Drosophila melanogaster: one gene and its partner. The protein of the gene in region 1 interacts with the protein of each later gene in a pairwise test. Each region holds a gene or a part of one and is shown in the gene's direction. Other genes may lie near its edges.

Evidence for each region.
Region 2: the proteins of Obp56d (region 1) and CG13928 interact in a two-hybrid assay, tested with the Drosophila melanogaster proteins (one large-scale study listed by BioGRID).

The regions. Positions count from the first base shown.
Region 1 is NT_033778.4:19,702,236-19,705,621, reverse strand, and holds Obp56d (Odorant-binding protein 56d), read left to right. Parts: upstream 1-1,706; 5' UTR 1,707-1,871; coding exon 1,872-1,919; intron 1,920-1,989; coding exon 1,990-2,337; 3' UTR 2,338-2,698; downstream 2,699-3,386.
Region 2 is NT_037436.4:1,625,291-1,630,379, reverse strand, and holds CG13928 (uncharacterized protein), read left to right. Parts: upstream 1-2,002; 5' UTR 2,003-2,430; coding exon 2,431-3,168; 3' UTR 3,169-4,589; downstream 4,590-5,089. Other genes in the region: GC (gamma-glutamyl carboxylase), read left to right, coding at 4,719-5,089.

The DNA.
Region 1 (3,386 bases):
CTGTTTATATTTTTATGGCATGCCATATAGTATTTAATATTTATATTATATATGAGTCGCATGCGACATTCATTCCCGTTCTATCATGTCTACGATAAAACAGTTTTATTCCTTTCCACTACAGGAAACTTTTGGGGACAGCGAACTTCTTCACCAGGTGGAAAAGCTGGAAAAGTTGAATAGGCTACCTCCACCTCCTTGAACTGAAATCAAACTACTTGAGGAGTCAGCCACCGCTTCGTGTTTGCAGTTATTATTGTCTATAAATCGTTGGAAGGTCTCCGATAGGAGCTGTGGGGCATTATACACGATGACATTATGAATTTATTACTATTTAAATATTTTACTTTTGTTATGGCCCTGGCAGGCGACGATGGGCCGCAATAATCGTTCTGACATTTGTTTTCCCTGGCGTGCGTAACTATTTACCAGTTCGCTCCGGTAACTTCGTCTCCGAAAGTCCAGGGGGTGACCCAGGCACCGGTATATAGTTTGAGTAGGTCATGAATTATCGATGCTGTCAGCAGTAAATATTGATAAAATATATGAGGCAAAGTTCTGGCACGTAGGCATCAACTTTGGTAGCTGCCTCTATTACCATAATTAAATAATTCGGGCAGTTAGCCGACTTAAACGGTTCCGCTTAAAACTCATGCATAAATATATACATATATATACATACATCAGCAAATTACCCGAATGTCACTTTAATTGTTAATCAGCTAGACACATCTGTGCCACAAATTAATCTGCAAACCAGTTTAGTTTGATCGCACGGACTTGAGATTTTGAGAGTCATCTGAATATTTGGACTTTGATAACCGCACTTGACTTCAGACTTTGGAAAAAACCAACAAAACAATAAAAATAGGTAGGAGAACAACTGACAAAGTTAAAACAGGTTTGACGAATCAGACGTTCGTCATTAATTTTATCATGTAATATCAGACTTATTTCAAAAAAAGGGTCTATTAACAAAATTATTTAATTATTAATAATGGCATTAGAATCACCAAGAAATAATTTGTTGCGGTAATGAGGTAGCCTTATTAATATGAGACAAATTTTATAATGGTGGTATTAATAGATATATTTTGGTTATAAGGGTTATATATAGGGAATGAAGAAATATATTTAAGCGCAGACCTTATATAAGGCTTACAAATAATTCGAGCATCTCATGGCCTCCGTTAACTTATATTAAATTTTAAGTGTTACTAAAAATTTTTGTAAGTAATATAAAATGTTGCTTTTATATTCTATTCTCTAAAACTCCCCTATCATGCTTTGCATGCACTTTGTTTTAACACCTCCATAAAAATCAACGTTAGATTGTATTTCAAGTTTAAGGTTTTGGAGTTACGTGTATTGTTAAATCAAATTAGTTGACGTTGACGCTTCGCTGGGCACTCTGACCCTTGGGAAGTACAACACACTTTTAATCGGTGGAAAATCTGAAACTACAATTAGCACTTACATTATGGCTTTGAAGCGATTTTAGCCTAATAATAAGCCCGAGTCTGGGGCATTAGGGCCAATTATAGGTACAATGGAAAGCCGCAGTGAACTTGCTTCATTTACTGATTCGAGTATCTGTTGAACTTTAAACCGAAATGGTAAAAAAAAGTGAGTCAGTTTCGGGTTATCAACAAGATCGGAGAGGGTTTAAGTAAACTAACCGGTGTATTGCCGTGTGTATGTGTAATAATTGCTTATACAGTGTGATCAGCGGAGTAGAGCGAAAACAAAAAGCGATAATCAAAACAAAACTCTGACGAAGCTGCATGCAAAATCGTATAAAAGGCAGATGCTAACAGAATAAATTCAACAGTTTCGATACCAAAGGGTTTCCAACAACATCTCTACCGAAAATGAAGTTCCTGATTGTCCTCTCCGTCATTTTGGCCATTTCGGCTGCTGTGAGTTACAAATAGTTTCTGATTTAAAGGGGTAGTATTGCTAAGTGTATCTTTTGAATATATCTTATAGGAGCTGCAACTATCCGATGAGCAGAAGGCTGTGGCCCATGCCAATGGCGCCCTTTGTGCCCAGCAGGAGGGAATCACCAAGGATCAGGCGATCGCCTTGCGAAACGGCAATTTCGATGACAGTGACCCCAAGGTGAAATGCTTCGCCAATTGTTTCTTGGAGAAAATCGGATTCCTGATCAATGGTGAGGTCCAGCCCGATGTCGTTCTGGCCAAGTTGGGACCCCTGGCCGGCGAGGATGCCGTGAAGGCCGTTCAGGCCAAGTGTGATGCCACCAAGGGAGCGGATAAGTGCGATACTGCCTATCAGCTATTCGAGTGCTACTACAAGAATCGCGCCCACATCTAAGCGCCAAATCTCCGATATTCTCCTGTGTGATAATCTGTCTGTGACTTGTTACTTATATTGTTTTAATTCAGTATATCAATTCGTAAACAAAATTTTTAGATCTGTAAATGTTTTGAATAATAAACTCAAGAATATATTTCGTTTTTAAAAAAAAACTTGACAAGAAACCTTTGCGAGACTATGTTCCAAATAGAAGATCATGCTTAAAGCTTTTACATAACTCTCCTAGAATCTCACTTGGCATTTGTTAATATTTTAAATATTAATGTTAAACGTTTGATCAAATAACTTTTTAGCTGTCCAACAAAAACTTAAAGGAACCTTCCAGGAAAATAACTTACGTAAACCCCTAACAGAGAACGCCTTTTATTGTGTCTCAAAGGAAATTAAGGTGAAATTCTTATACATAATTACTTATGCATATTCGACTTGTCAATGGATGCTCCACTGTATGACCCATTTGCGTTTTGGCCGCGTACCCATTTGCATAACAGTGGGCCGTCATTAAGGACCAACCACTGTCAGACCGTCGTCAGGGGCTTAAGTCCCTGGTACAGAGCGGCGATCCCAGAGGCATTTGGCCGCTCATGTTTGGCATAAATATTGATGAGCGACGGCAAACTTATTGGCACAAAGACCTGGGATCCCGGCGATACAGGATGCGTTGGGGTTCGAGCAAATGAATTGGACACGGGGAGCCGTGTTTTTAAAAGCCCAAATCCAATTAACAAATCATTAAACATTCATTGAGCACGTGTCGCAATTGCATTTACTGGTTCAACATGGATCAGGTGGCATCGGAGGGAACAATTGTTCCGACTTTGGCTTTGACTTTGGCTTTTGGGGAGTTTGGATCGCAGCCAGGGTCCATAATTCATTTTGTCACTTCCTGGGGTCGGTCTGGCTGTAATGTCACTTCCATTTAGCATCCGTTTCAGTTGCAGTTGTCTGCACAAGAGCTGATGGCCGATGGCCGATGGCCTTCCCGGCCAACCGAACAAACAATCACTGATGCGTTTACTAATGTCTATTAAAAAGGCAGCCCAATC
Region 2 (5,089 bases), on another chromosome or scaffold:
ATACATAATTATTTAAATAAATAAATAAAAACAAAACCAACGTGTTTTCTAAAGCTGGGTAAGCATATTGATTGAAGTAGGTGGGTATTTAAATGAAAACAATAACTTCATTGTTTTAAATATTAATTATGTGGAAATTTCCCAATGCTGACATGTTCTCCAAGCTCGTGAACCAGATTAACTCCCAAATTGGGCGACAAAGGATGCGCTGCCTAAAAATAGGAGCACACAAAAAGTGTAGCATACTATCCAGCGCACTAAACTGCGCACTTGGTCTGCATACATAAATACCAATTGGGGCGCAGACAGCGTGCAAACAGGGTAATGGAAATAGAAACCCGTCTGCGGTGGGGAGCCTACGCTTATGTCAGACAAGTGGGGGAGCACCAGGCGCCTATTTACCACACACACACACACACTTGCCACACCTGATTAAAATCTATTGACAATGCAGGCGACGCGAAATTGGAGCGGCGCTAACAAGGCTCCACAAAGGAATCGATGGCCCCTGCGACGGAACAGGACCAAAGCCGCCCGGCAACCAGCACTTAATGAAACCCAATTACCGCAGGTGTCCGCCAGGCAAATCCTGGCGGCGGATGGCAAACAATAACAGCTGCTGCCGCAGCACCTGCAAATTTTATTTGCATTTTCCTGCCATTCTAACACCTCCCAACTTTTTCCCAGGGGTATATTGGTTTCTATTAGAAACTTGCTATTCAAATAGTTGGTGTTCTACAAATTTTATAGATTTAAATTGCGAGTTCCACTCGTATGTATACTTGATATGTGCTAACATATTTAAAAATCGATTTGAAAAATGCATAATTGTAAGTCCCTGCATTCCTGGTAACTCTGAGGTCTCAACTCGCAGTCAACGAAAAATCACTTGTTTATTGTTATCAACTTCGATGCCATTTCCCGGCAAGGACATGCGCAAACACCCCCACTTCCGCCCACATCACTTGGCCATCATCCCCTCTGCGACACCAAGGATTAGGGAAAGGAAAAGCAGAAGGGACACATCTCCGAGTGGAGCAGAGTGGCGTATAAATACCACGCAGCTCGTGCGCACAGCCTCAGTTGGCGGACCGTGTTGCTCGCGATTCCCTTTTCCCAGTCGCTGCGTCCGCAGGTGAGAGTTCATCCGGGAAACGGCCAACTGTTGCCAGTTGCACTCGGCGGGTGGCGCGCTGCAGGGAGCAGTATAACGGCCCCAATTACTGCCCCAACTGCAGCAAATTACGGGTGTGAATTTGATTAATTGCCTTGAAAAGCGATTGTGAGCAGAGCAGAAGTGACTGTAAGCCGGGGATTTGATATAACGACTTGTATGTAAAGTTGACCCCATTTCCGCTTTAATTGGCCATAACAACACAAAGTAAGTAGTGCTCTTCGTACGATTTGTACTATAAGTAAAGTTATTGCTACTTCCGAAAGCATGGTAGTATTTAAAGTATTATTTTGGAATTCTAGTTCCACATTCAAGGACAATCTATCATATACAATACAAATCTTTAGAATATGCGATTTATAATTATACAGCATAAAAGCGATGCCAAACTACAGTAAAAATGTTATGCTAACATATCATATCCAAGATTATATTATGTTTCATCAATCTGGCCAGTTAAATATACAAATGTATAAAATGTGAAAAAAACATATAACCTTAAAATCACTGGTGTAACGGTGTTTCAATCCTTCTACTGCACACACTGCACTTACCCCTATTTCCAACACTGTCGTGCAGAGGAGCCCCAATCGAGTGGCACTGGGGGTGAGTGCTGGCGAGAACAAAACTGGTTGCCAGTCGGGTCGGCGGCTGGTCAATCATATGGCGAGAATAGTGGTTAAAGCCACCCCTGGCGTGGCAGCTTTATCGGGGGTTGCATGTGGTGTTGGGATTGCACGGTGTGCCGAGTGTATCCGATTCCGACTTCTATTCCGAATCCGAATCGGCGGACCTGGTCTCGAATTCGGAAACGCAATCGGTGGCTCGCGCACAGTCAGTCTGCAAACTTCGGAGCGTGCGGTTGTCAAGTTTCGGTCGTCTGCGTGTTTTCTCTTTCCCGATTTCAGCACTCTTCCCGCACACACACACACAGCACTCGCCACACACACACACACACACGGACGCAGACACAGGAAGAAGAGTGAGAGAGGGTGGAGCGGAGAGGAGGCGACTTTCGCTCGAATTTCTCGCTTGTTGTTATTGCTGCTGCCTGCTGCTGTTGCCGTTGTTGCTGTGGCCGTAGTGTATATACCCACTGTGTGACTCCACAGTGTGCGTGTGTTTTTTCCTGAAAGTTCGAATTCTCTTTTTCCGCCTGCTTGAATCAGACTCGGGTTCGGATTCAGAATCGAAATCGATAGTCACCAACCAACTAACCAGCCAGCCAACTAACCAATCAACCAACCAAAGTCACCATGGCCGACAACAATAACTGCCCAAAGTGCAAAAAATCGATCGCCGCCAAGGAGGCCACGAGCATCGGGTGCAGCGGCGAGGACTGCCGGAGAAGGTACCACCGCACGTGCGTCAACATCGACGACGCGGTCTTCGAGGCGATCCAGAAGAACTCGATGATATCCTTTCACTGCGACGAGTGCAAAAACCAGTCGCCACGAGCCTTCGCGGCCAAGCTGCACACCATCGAGGAAAAGGTCAATAAGGTGTGCAACGGGGTCAACCAGATCCAGGGCCGTATGTACCAGCAGTACTTCCAGTTTGGCAACCAGCCGCTTCAGGCATTGGGCGCCTCGGCCGCCGGCGTGGGTGGCGGCGGCCTGGGTGGCGGACTGGACGGGAAGAAGCATCCGCAGCAGAACAACCTCATTGTGGTAGGAAACAATTGTAACTCCGACCGACTGCAAGTGGTCTGCGACTACGGGCGCTGGGTGCAGGTGGGCAAGTTCGCCACGAACACCAGCGAGGAGGACGTGATCGATCACCTGGCCGAGGAGCTGAAGATCAACAAGAACCTGGTCAAGTGCACCAAGCTGGTGAAGAACGATGCCAACCTGTCGCAGTTGTCGTACTGCAAGTTCAAGATCTCCATTCCGGACTACCGCTTCAACGAGCTCTTCAACGAGGCCATCTGGCCCAGCGGCGTGATGGTCAGTCCCTTCACTCCGCGCTCCCAGCTCAACCAGAATCGCCTCTAGAGGAACGGGCCCGGCAGCCGGGAGAGCGGTGACCGGGCGAGGGTGAAGCAGGAGCATAGGACAGGCTGAGCAGGATGAGGAGGATGAGCAGCTGGAGAGCAGGTAGCCAAGGGAGAGAGTGCGCCTGCGCAGGGAGCGGATGAATGATTACGAGCAGCAGCAGCAGGAGGAGGAGGAAGAGGAGGAACTGCATCGCGGCCTGGCAAACAAGGGTTGCTATACGGACTGCAGCACACCGCGGATTCCCCCGAGTGCGCCGACTTGGGCTGATTGATGGAGCAGCAGACGGAGGAGCAACTATGTGCCCCCATTGTATGCTAATTTTCGACACTCGAAAACATTGTCTAGATCTTTAAAAGCTTACAGAACCTATCTAATGGAAAACCAAGAGCATATTTATTGAATTAACTTTGAAAATGCATTTTAAAATGTTTTAGCGTTGCGTAAATAACGAAATGAAATCGATAAAGAAAACCAAAAGTATTTTAATGGCAAACTCACAAGTAAAATAGATGTGAAGCAAAAAATATTAGTCATTTATGCATTACTGTCGTACTTAAATTAAAGTAAACCGAAAACAAAACGAGAAAACTAAGGAAACCAACTAAACGTACTTAAAGAGACACTCACACACACACACACACACACACACACACCGAAAGCGGTTATTCAGGCGCGTATTTAAACCATTTACCAATCAAACATTCAACCCAGTCAATCCAGGCACCGAGGTTCTCCCTTCATCTTCATTTTCCAACTCACTTCCGGGGTGTGGGGATCCTACGGATCGACCAGACCTACGGAGATTCTACTACGACGCGTGTGCGACTACCTATCACATTAAGTACTTAACCGTAACCAATATCAAAACCTATATTCAAGCAGACGACGGCTTATATTGTATTCGTATATGTATGTAGTTTGAGGCATTTTCAAAGCTTGTTCCTGTTCCCAAAGACGTTTGGACATTTTGCGAACCACTGCACAGGACACTGGCCAGCAGCTAGACCCATTCAGATTCAGATCGAAAGTATATATATATATGCATTTGCGTTTTCGACGGCCGGCACTCCCAGTTGGGATGTCCGCCGGCCCGGATGGCAGTTATCACAGTTACCACACACGTTCCACACGGACAGGACTAGAGACGAAACTAGAGGAAACGAAGCTGGGCAAATCCGTTGCAATAATAACTCACTGACCGAGTATAATGGATGTACATTTCGTAATTGATCTATTTTTTTACACCGATCCGACAGCAATATTTTCCGTGGACTCCACGCCAGCGATCCGAACAGAACCGTAGATATTTACGCAAGAGTCAGCAAACGAAATGTAAAACACATATATTATATATTTAGTATACAACAATATGCATGCATGTATTTATGTCAACTTTTTCAATAAATTCTACAAAACTTAAATACCAAACAACCATTCGAGGGGATTGATCTTTGGGTCATCTATGGGCAGATCTGTAAGGATAACGTTTACTATACTTGCAAAGGACGTGTTCTTTCGCATTCTTTACAGATTCAAGATTCAGCAGAATGGCCAACTCCAAGCGAAAGCTGCCCACGAAACCCAGTGCCACAGAGGACGCTACTCCGCACAAAGATACACCTAGGTCGTCGGAAGAATTCCCCACAGATGTAAATCACAAGAGTGCCAAGAAGTCCTTCCTTCCTCAAAACGCATTCTTTCGAGATTGCCTCGGTCACGATCTGAGCAACTTCACTAGCCTGACCAACTTTACCAGCTGGCTAAACAGACCCGTAGATGGAGCTGCCCTGGGCATCTTCCGTCTGCTCTACGGAGCAGCCATGCTGATTGACATCGCAGAGGAGCGAGGTGGCGGCCAGCTGGACGTGCGGTTTCAGGAGCCGCTACACTGCCACTTTCCACTGTTCAACGGGATGCG